Linked DNA regions of Drosophila melanogaster. The protein of the gene in region 1 interacts with the protein of each later gene in a pairwise test. Each region holds a gene or a part of one and is shown in the gene's direction. Other genes may lie near its edges.

Region 1 (3,316 bases):
CGCGCAGAGCTGGGGAATCTACCAGGCGCTGCAGATGAACTGCCAGCACTTCTTCACCGAGTGCCAGTGGCGTCGCAAGGCGATGAACTGCTGTGACCTATTCCGACCCACCAAGACCTTCAATGGCTTCGCCTTCGAGTTCAACTCACTGGTCTCCTCGGGAAGAGATGAAACGTGGCCCTGGTCCGTGGCTTCATGCGGATCATATAGCGGACTCAATGTGAAGATCAAACGGCAGCAGGGTCTGTATACGTTGAATACAATGGGGGTGAGTCCGATAAGACATATGTACATAGATAGTGCGTCATGACATGGAGTAATTACCACACCAGGTGATAGTGCACGAACCGACCCAGTTGCTGGGCATGAGCATTGACTATTCCTCAGAGGATCGCATCGTGGTTCCGGTGGAACCACTTCATTTCACAGCCGAGTTGGATGTCCGGGCACGTCCCGTTCAAATGCGTCGTTGTTACTTTGAGGTCGGTTTCCTTAGCCAAATATATACTAGCTCTTAAACTTAATTTTACCTTAGAATGAGATACCAACGGGAAAGTCCCGGTCGGAGTGCATCTACAAGTGCCACGTCAACTACATCATCAGCAAGTGCAACTGCTCCTTGGAACTGCCGGTGAAGGCCACTCAAGATGAGGACAACATTGCGGCTGCAAAGGAAAGCAACGGACGTAGAATTTGCGGTGTGAAGGATCTGGCCTGCTTCAATCAGCACCGACGTGGGTCTAATTCTAAACTTAAATCATATATATATGATATATATGTACTGAATTCCGCTTAGTTTCCCTCTTTTCCATGAGCAACATCATCGAAGAGTCCCGTGATAATGTGTTCTCCACCGTGGATTGCGGTTGCTTTCCTCAGTGCGGTCACACCCAGTACCACACGTCAACCTACACGGAGAAGATGAGCGCCCACACCAACCTTGCCGCAGCGATCGAGATAGATGTGTACTTCCAGGAGGAGACCCTCTTCTCTTACCGCTCCATGCTCCGCTTCACGCTGATCGACTTAATGGGTGAGTTTGGGATCAATCACAGCTGCGATGACATGTACCCCCTACCCTTCACTTGTAGTTTCCTATGGAGGAATAGCCGGTTTGATCATGGGCATCTCGGTGCTAGGTTGCATCAACGAACTCTTGGATCGCTTCGCCTGTTGTCGCATACCCCATGGCTCCTAGGCCCAAGCTGGCACCATGAAGTACCAGCCATCGGCAGCTGGGTTCTCACGTTCCCACACTTACCTGTAACCGAAGCACACACAAATGCACCACTCACCTGGTTCTTGGGATGCGCACATAAACAAATCCAGAAAATAAAACGCATTCGGAGAGCTACCTGCATGGCAGTGGAAAATTTTCAGGTGCAGCTCCAACCAGACATAACAAAACTGTAGGCTTTCTTCAGAAAAAGAAATTGAATAAGAATATTGTTTTTAAGTCCCAGAAATCCATTTTCAATTTAGAAGTCTGTTTTTGTAACTTGAAACATTGAGTAAATAAATTCCTTATAGAGCACATACTTATATATGCCTTCAATAAAATGCCGAAAATAAATGTAATTGCAAGTATTTTTAATTTTCTGCACAGCGACTGTATTTTTTGCAGTGCACCCAAATATGCTGCGTTTGCTAAACGTGGGTATTAATCTGTTTTCAGCAACAACAAAAATAAGCGCGCCAATTTGCCAAAGATTAAAGGGGAGCTGTCTTATCAGCGACTGAGCCCATGGAGGTTATTAGAAGGCATCCATCCAGATTCCAGATTCTTTGTTGTCCACTTGTGCCCCCAAGCATAAAAGCCCATCACAAAAGAATCAGATGCCCAGCTTGGAGTTGAGCATAAAAATAAACTGGGGATCTACAAGCATAATCGCGCCTTGGAGACCCCTCAGGTACCAAGTCCATTCCCGAACTCAAATCGGATCCCTCGCTCTCGTATAAATAGGGGCTGCCTGGCCCTATTTCAAAACAGTCTTCGCTCGATCGCTGGAGGAATACATACATAGGTGGAAAGAAAGTGAAAATGAAGGTTTTCGTTGCCATCTGCGTGCTGATTGGACTGGTGAGTGCTCGATACAGATAAACGGCGACCAGGACCAGAATAATTCAACGCCTTCCCTTGGGTTATAGGCCTCCGCCGACTATGTGGTGAAGAACCGACACGACATGCTGGCCTACCGCGATGAGTGCGTCAAGGAGCTGGCCGTGCCCGTGGATCTGGTGGAGAAGTACCAGAAGTGGGAGTACCCCAACGACGCCAAGACCCAGTGCTACATCAAGTGCGTCTTCACCAAGTGGGGCCTGTTCGACGTCCAGAGCGGTTTCAACGTGGAGAACATCCACCAACAGCTGGTGGGCAACCACGCTGACCACAACGAGGCCTTCCACGCCTCCTTGGCCGCCTGCGTGGACAAGAACGAGCAGGGATCCAATGCCTGCGAGTGGGCCTACCGCGGAGCCACCTGTCTGCTGAAGGAGAACCTGGCCCAGATCCAGAAGAGCCTGGCCCCGAAGGCCTAGTGGCTTAGGTCCTAGTTGGACGGATGTAACGATAAGCATTAGTTTAGTTAATAAAGTAATTGATTTCCCATACAAGTTCGAGCATTCCTTCTCGATTCAGTGGGGAAAAACAGAATGTAGATATTTCTTCTTCAATGGGGGCCTCAATTTACTTATTAACAACTCCGAGTAGCAATTACATTGAGGATATGCTTTTAGGCAGCCAAACTAAACTAAAACTTTGGCCAACTACTTCCATTCGTCATGTTGCTGTACACCAAGGAACTTGTGATTCCGCGGCCGAGACCAGGACTACTGCGCTTCAGGAACAATCCGCGTGGTATTAAGTTTCGGGAAAAACTGTGCAACTCCTTTGCCCACTCCAACATCCATGGGATGCAGCACGTCTTCGGGGAGCAGCATCTCTGGCAGCGCTGCCTGTGGCTCGCCATCGTCCTGGGAGCGGTGATCACAGGATTCAGTCTGTACACCGTGCTGATGCATCGCCACAGCGAGCAGCTCCTGGTCAGCCTGATAGAGACCACCCAGTTGCCAGTGTACCACATCGACTTTCCAGCTGTGGCCGTTTGCCCCTGGAATCATTTCAACTGGCAGAGGGCTCCGTCGGCATTTATCCGCTTTCTGCCACGTCATCCGAATGCCGAGCTCCGGGAAACATTTCGCCAGCTACTCGCCAGTATGGACATTATGAACTTCTCCAACTTTAACCGGATACGGATTCTGACCAAACGAAATCTGACGGGAATTAGTTATCTAAAAATGACGGACCTGATGAACT
Region 2 (6,344 bases), on another chromosome or scaffold:
AACTAAAGCCACTCGTGCAGCTCGAGAAGATCGACTACAAGCGACTGGGCGGCATGCCGTAGTTTACAATAAAAGTGCACATCGCATTTATCCAACAGTTATTTAATTTCTTAAATGTAAGAAAATATACAAATTTACAGAAAAGAACCGAGAGGGAATGATTACACTGCCAGAGTAAAAAATATCTCAAATTCAACCTTACACACCCACATGACACGACAACAACGGACTTTCCCAAAGCAGTGATAAAGAAGCTGCGGGGCGGTTAATCCTTAAAGGCCTCATTAAGAGCCGCCAGATTGCGATCGCTCACATAACTCTGGAGATCGCTGCGGCCCATCAGCGAAATGACCATCTTCAGCGTACTCCAAATAGACTCGGACATCTGGTTCTGTCCTCTAAAGGTAGCCGCCATCGCCGCATTGGGCAGCTCTCGGGCGGCGTTAGTGTGAGCCTGCATGGTAAGCGCTGTGAGTAAGTGCTCCACAGCTTCCTTGTAGGCCTTAAGGTTCATGCAACATACGCCCACGTTGTAACGCACACGGATGAAGCCCGGTTGGAGCTGCAGCGCCTGCTGATAAGCCTCCACCGCCTCCACGGAGCGCGAGCCGTTGGCCAAACTGGCCCCCAATCGGTTCCATGTCTTCGCATTTTGGGGATCCACCTGCAGAGCGGACTGGTAGCAGTCCACCGCCTTGTCGAACTCCCCAGATAGATTGTAGAGCACGCCGAGGGCATCCTGGACTTCGGCATCCACCTCCGAAGGGTGCTGTCGAACGGCTTCCAAGTAGATCTGCTGCAGATCGCGCAGCTTACTCGGACCAATCAGCGACGAAGCCAACGAAGTGCCCTCGGCCTGCAGCTCCGGATGGGCTGCGACCAGGTGCTGATACTTGGGATGCACTGTCAGCCAGTTGCACAGCATGCGCACGGCGTTGTTCTGCAGGCCCTCGTTGGTGTAGCACGCGGCCAGGGCCATCAGGACCTGTTGGTTGTCCGGTTGCAAGTCGTAAGCCCGCTTAAGTGCCGCAATGGCCTGGGGATCCATTTCGTTCTCTGTCTGCGAAGTGCCCAGCAACTGCCAGACCTCAGCGCGCTCCGGTTGCTTTTTGGCCGCCACCTCGAAACATAGAACTGCGCTGGGTATATCCCCTTTGGACAGGTACTCCTTACCCTTTTCAAACGGGTTCTCCACATCAGACATGGGGTTGCCCTCGGCGAACTCGTACTCCTTATAAGCGTCCATATTGTCGTTGTACTCCGACAGCCACGGATGCTCGTTCTCGTCGGCCAGCTTCTGCCACTCGTCTTGCAGCCGCTCCCAGAACTTTTCGTTGAAGTTGGCGGCGGTTTGCTCTTTTTGTTCGGTGCTGCGCTGGTAGTCGCTGATCCAGTCGTCCAGCGATTCCCCCTGTGGCGCCTGTGGCAGATGATCTGTGATTATAGTTTCCATGGCGGAGTCAAAGAAGGGGTCCTGTTGCTGTCCTGCCGCAATGGGCATCAAAGGCTGACGCAATGGCGGCAGGGACCGAAAGTTCTGGCTACTGATCAGGGGCTCGTCGAAGAACTCCTGGGCATGCTGCAGGTCCTGCTGCTGTGCCTGCATGTGGATCATCTTGTTGGGCAGGGCGGGTGCCAGTCCGCGGGCAAAGTCCTGTCCCCACTGCTCCGCCTGCTGAGAGTGCATCTGCTGCTGCGGATTTCCGTGAATATTTATGTCCCGCATCTCCTGGAGCAGAGTGTCCATCTGAAATGACTGCGGTGGGGCAGTGACCTGTCCCAGGAACTCGTTGATCAACTGGTCCTCGGGACGAGCAGCGCGCTCGAAGTGTCGCTGCACATAGCCCTCATCCTTGTGGGCAACATCGCGGGTGAACTGTCCGCCCAGTTGCATGAGAGGATTAACTCCACCGCAGTCGCCCTCGACCAATGGGCGGAAAGACATGGTGTTCGAAGTGGAGATGCTACGTAACTGGGGCAACCAACGATAAGAAAAGGGGCCAAATCAGGTCCAAAACAAAAGTCCAAATGTCACAAAGATTACCTGTTTATCGGCCGTTATCGAAGCTATCGGCTTTGTGACAGTGTTGCACAGCGCTCTAATAATAATAAAATATATCGCCGCGCAAAATCTTATCCGCCAGAGAATTGGTTTCGAACGCCAAATCCCCGACTGCACCATGGACTACGACCTTTTTCAGTCGGATGACGAGGAGATCCTGGCTACCTTCATACAGGCGACACAGAAGCAGGAAACCCTGAGCGCGCAAATAGACGTGGACGATAGCGAAGAGGACCTAGTCGACGGTCTACACTTGCCCGAGTTCAACTGCAGTGGCCGAGACACTCTGAAGAGCCAACTGTGCGAGGGAGGCTTTCTGGGGAATGGCTACGCCCAATTGGATCCGCCCCGCTCTCGCCTGGATTATCTCTGTTTTGACTTTGCTCCGGCTCAATTAGCGGTTGGCGCGGTAAGAAACTACCTGTACGGCGAGGCCTGGTGAGTTTAGAGCTCCCCTGGCAGCTGCCAACAAGTACAACTCTTCCATTCTCAGTAAGAATGTGCAGAAGCTGTTAACCGTCGTGATGGGCCAGCAACACCTGCAGGCCACGGCCGCCTCTATGAACTCTGGTTGGTATAGAGTGCGCCAGCAGGTCACACACTTCTACCATCTGATGCTGCTCCTACGAGGCAATGAGCTGCTGCCTTCACATTTTCTTGATGGGTTTCGACAATTGCTCAACGATCAGCTGGATGCGGATACCTGGAAGGTTTTGTATTTTGCGGAGCACAACAAGGGAAACGACTGCCAGGCGCCGGCGTATCACCTGTATCACGGCGTACTGGAGTGGCGTTTTCTGGACCTGCATATACTGTACGCCTCTGGGAATGATCAAGCGTTCCTAGGGCAGCTGGAGCGCACACTCGACGATCTGATCGTTTGTGCTGGACATCACTACCGCAGCAAACATCGCTCGGAGCTCATCCATTCCTCGCCGTTCATGTGTCGCTGCAACAAGGAGCTGTGGCTGCTGCTGAAACGTCTTATTCCCAAATGGCTGGGAGAACGGGAGCTAGACTTTTGGACTCTATTCCACAAGGCCATGCAGAGGCACAAGTCACTCCACTTCCAGGGTGAGTGCACAAAGAAGCTAGACCGTGCGGCTTCCCCTCATCTTATAGTCGTTTTTCTTCTCGAGGTGAGAGCAATGCAATTTCTCTGGCATACCACGAACTCTATTCCTGGTTGAGGCTAGGACTGGCCCGCTTGGACGAATACAACAGTGAGGGTTGGTACCAGCCGGATCACTCGCCGCTCACTGCGGCACCAGAAAGCTTCCAAACTGCCAGTCTGCTTAAGCAATTTCTGGCGAGCCAGCCGGACGAACAGCAGCGGCGGGTCTACCTAATTCAACTCTCTCCCCTTCAACTGCAGCTGGGCAAGCCGGATACTGATGTCCTGTGCCAGCTGTGGGAGTACTTTCACCGATCCCTCAACTGCAATTTTAGTGTGGGAACTGAGCTAGATCAGCTGCCGCTTACCTGTTCCAATGGGTCGGCCTACGTCGATCGCTACAACAAACTGCTGTCTAAGTCGCATATAGAAGATTTGAATCTGAGCAGTTTCACCATGTACGCGTGGATGCTGGGCAAAACCTTGAAGCTTTTACCATCGCAGGGCAGAAGCAACCAACGTCAGAAACTACTCGGCCGCATATTCAGCAAGTTTAGTGCCGCGAAACTTTTGGCTCTGAATGAGCCTGGTATTCACCATGTGATCGAGCTGTTTCTGTGCCTGCTGCTCTGCCACGAAGATCTCAGCGAGTTGGCGCCCAAGCTGCGCGAAATGTTGCTCTGCCTGGCCCTGGAAAAACTGCCTCCGGTGCGAAGGATTCTCGTGGCCAAGGGACACATGGCCCTGCTGCTTCTGCATGCCCAGCATCGCCTATCTATGGATGACTATGTGAGCAAGCTGCTCAACCAGTTGGCCACCATTCGCAATGATGCAGAGGTGGGCGCCATTTATGTGGGCAGCCTTCAAGCCATCTTTAATCTGGCGGATGACTTCAACCGCGGCGAGCAGCAGCTTCTCGGGCCATGGCTGGCACATTACGTCGAAAAGTGTGGGCAGGCATCGCAGGATCGCGTATGGCAGACGCTTCACAATTTAATCCTCCGTCTCAGCGAGCGGAGAGCTGTGGCTGGCAATGCGAGTGGCATCAAGGAGGCACTTCAACAGCACATAATGCCACTGGTGAGGACCCAATACGTTAGTAGCCATAGCTCATGGCTTCCAAAGCTAGCGGCTAACTTCATCGCCCTGGAGAATAATGGGGACAAACTGCTACTGGGCTTCCTGCAGGGACCAGAACCCATCAATATGGCTGCTTCTGCTCAGTTGTTGCTCCAGGTGTTGGAAGACGGAGGGCGACCTGCCAGCTCCACCATTCTTCAGGTCTGGGTGAAGTCTCTGGTCCTCCTAAACGCACAACACGAATCTGTATTGGCTTTAATGCCCCATGTCACACAGCTAGAGGAGTTCCGACTTCTGGCCATTGATCCCACCTCTTTGGAGGGCGGGCGCGAGCCTCTCTGCGCCTTCTTTGGAGCTCTGGGAAGGCGTGCCCAGCAAGAGGAGGCTGCTGCCCACGTCCGTATGCAGTTGAGCCACAAACTGCATGCCTATGTAAATCATTTCGAGCTATGGCTACCCCCGGATCGAAGCCGATCGGAACTCGGTTCCCGGTTCTACAGCTTCCTAGCCATTGTCATCTATAATTGTTCCACTCTAGCGTACGTGCGATCCAAGCCGAGCTGCTTCTTCCACCTGGCCATGGTGCGGTTCCTGCTCACCACGCAGTTGCAGGCAGGAGTGCCGCCCGAAGGTCGCCTTCCACAAGTGGTTCACAAGATTTTCCCAGTGTTGCTGCAAGGCATTGGTCGACTGCCTTACCGCACGGACGCATACGTGGCCAAGACTTTGGAGCAACTAGTTCAGCACTGGACGCCGCACTTTAGCTTCTCATCCAACGCCAAGCTGGTGGCCCGTCCATATGCCACCCTCCTCCAGGCGGATGTAGATGGAGAGCTGGCGCAGTTTGTGCTTCAGCTCCTCGTTACCCAGTTTTTGGTGGTCCAGCGGCGGAGGGCAGGACAGCATGCGGGCTTGGTGATCACTATAATGCAGCAACTGATAGAGAGCACTGGCAAAGAGCAGGAAGAACAGCTGCTAACCGTTTTGCGCGGCGTGCACATCCCGCTGCTGGAACACGTAATGTTCGTGGACGAAGTGGACCTCAGTCGCAACCAAGTGTTTGGACTTTATAAAGTGCTTATATCGCACGATGCCTACAAGCGATCACAGGCGGTCAGGGATATGTGCTCCAATCACTTGCGATCCCTCGCCGAAAAGCACCTGGCCCACTGCACTTACTTTTACTTCCAGATGCTGATCAACCTGGCAGAGCTGGCGCCGGATCTAGTGGCTCCCATCCTATCCTTTATAAGGGAGCAGGCAGAGCAGGTGGAGCTAAAACGCGGCGCTGGAGAAGATGTGGGCATACGCAAGTGCTTGCAGCGACTCCAAAAGGTCTTGAGCAGGGTTTAGGCTCCTCATGGCTTCTTTTGTACATATAAGGATTCTCAATAAAATGTTAGGCATTCTATAAAATCTTTATTATTTCAGTCGGAAGATTCAATGATTCCTCCTTAAGAGATATACGTTACGGTGCGGCAAAATGTACATGGTGGTTTACACAGTCTCGCGATCTGTGCTCAAGGTCTCAGTTAAAGTGTTGGAAATAAATACATTATGATTGCTTCTCCTTTGGGCAGTTCTATAAACAGACGGCTAAACCACGTTTTTGACGTCGCGCGGTATGCGATTGGTAAGCAGCTCGGCGGGCATAAAGCCGGAGTCGCCCAGGTACTTGATGGACACGTTGCCGGATGGACTGATGGTCAGCCAGGTGATGGAAGCGTGATTAATGTTAATCCGTAGCCAACCCTCGGCGGGGAACTGCAGGGCTCGGCAGACAAAGTAGCGGATCACGTTGCCGTGTCCCACGATCAGGGTATAGCTCTCCTTCTCTTGGTCGGGATAGGCGCGGTGGAAGTATCGGCGAAAGCCGGCCTCTATGCGCGATCCGTCGCGAAGGAACTGCTGCAGTGAAATGAAAGCCGAATATCATGTGGAATACGCACTGGGTTGACCCTTGACTTGACTTACAGATGCCTCCGGCTTCCAGTGGCCGACTGGCGGCTGGGGCGGAATAGGCGCTCCTTCACGCAGGAAGGCACAGTTCACCACTTTCTCTTTTTCGAAATCGATCTGCTTGAGAAT

The links.
Region 2: the proteins of Obp99a (region 1) and CG14803 interact in a two-hybrid assay, tested with the Drosophila melanogaster proteins (one large-scale study listed by BioGRID).

What each region holds. Positions count from the first base shown.
Region 1 is NT_033777.3:29,669,675-29,672,990, forward strand, and holds Obp99a (Odorant-binding protein 99a), read left to right. Parts: upstream 1-1,982; 5' UTR 1,983-2,041; coding exon 2,042-2,080; intron 2,081-2,148; coding exon 2,149-2,538; 3' UTR 2,539-2,660; downstream 2,661-3,316. Other genes in the region: ppk30 (pickpocket 30), read left to right, coding at 1-268, 333-482, 536-734, 797-1,033, 1,092-1,198; ppk19 (pickpocket 19), read left to right, coding at 2,782-3,316. UniProt on the Drosophila melanogaster protein: Present in the aqueous fluid surrounding olfactory sensory dendrites and are thought to aid in the capture and transport of hydrophobic odorants into and through this fluid.
Region 2 is NC_004354.4:1,866,743-1,873,086, forward strand, and holds CG14803 (uncharacterized protein), read left to right. Parts: upstream 1-2,180; coding exon 2,181-2,500; intron 2,501-2,555; coding exon 2,556-3,136; intron 3,137-3,201; coding exon 3,202-5,609; 3' UTR 5,610-5,666; downstream 5,667-6,344. Other genes in the region: MED18 (mediator complex subunit 18), read left to right, coding at 1-62; Pex5 (peroxin 5), read right to left, coding at 266-1,972, 2,045-2,182; Pgam5 (phosphoglycerate mutase 5), read right to left, coding at 5,853-6,164, 6,231-6,344. UniProt on the Drosophila melanogaster protein: Involved in recombination-dependent repair of stalled or collapsed replication forks.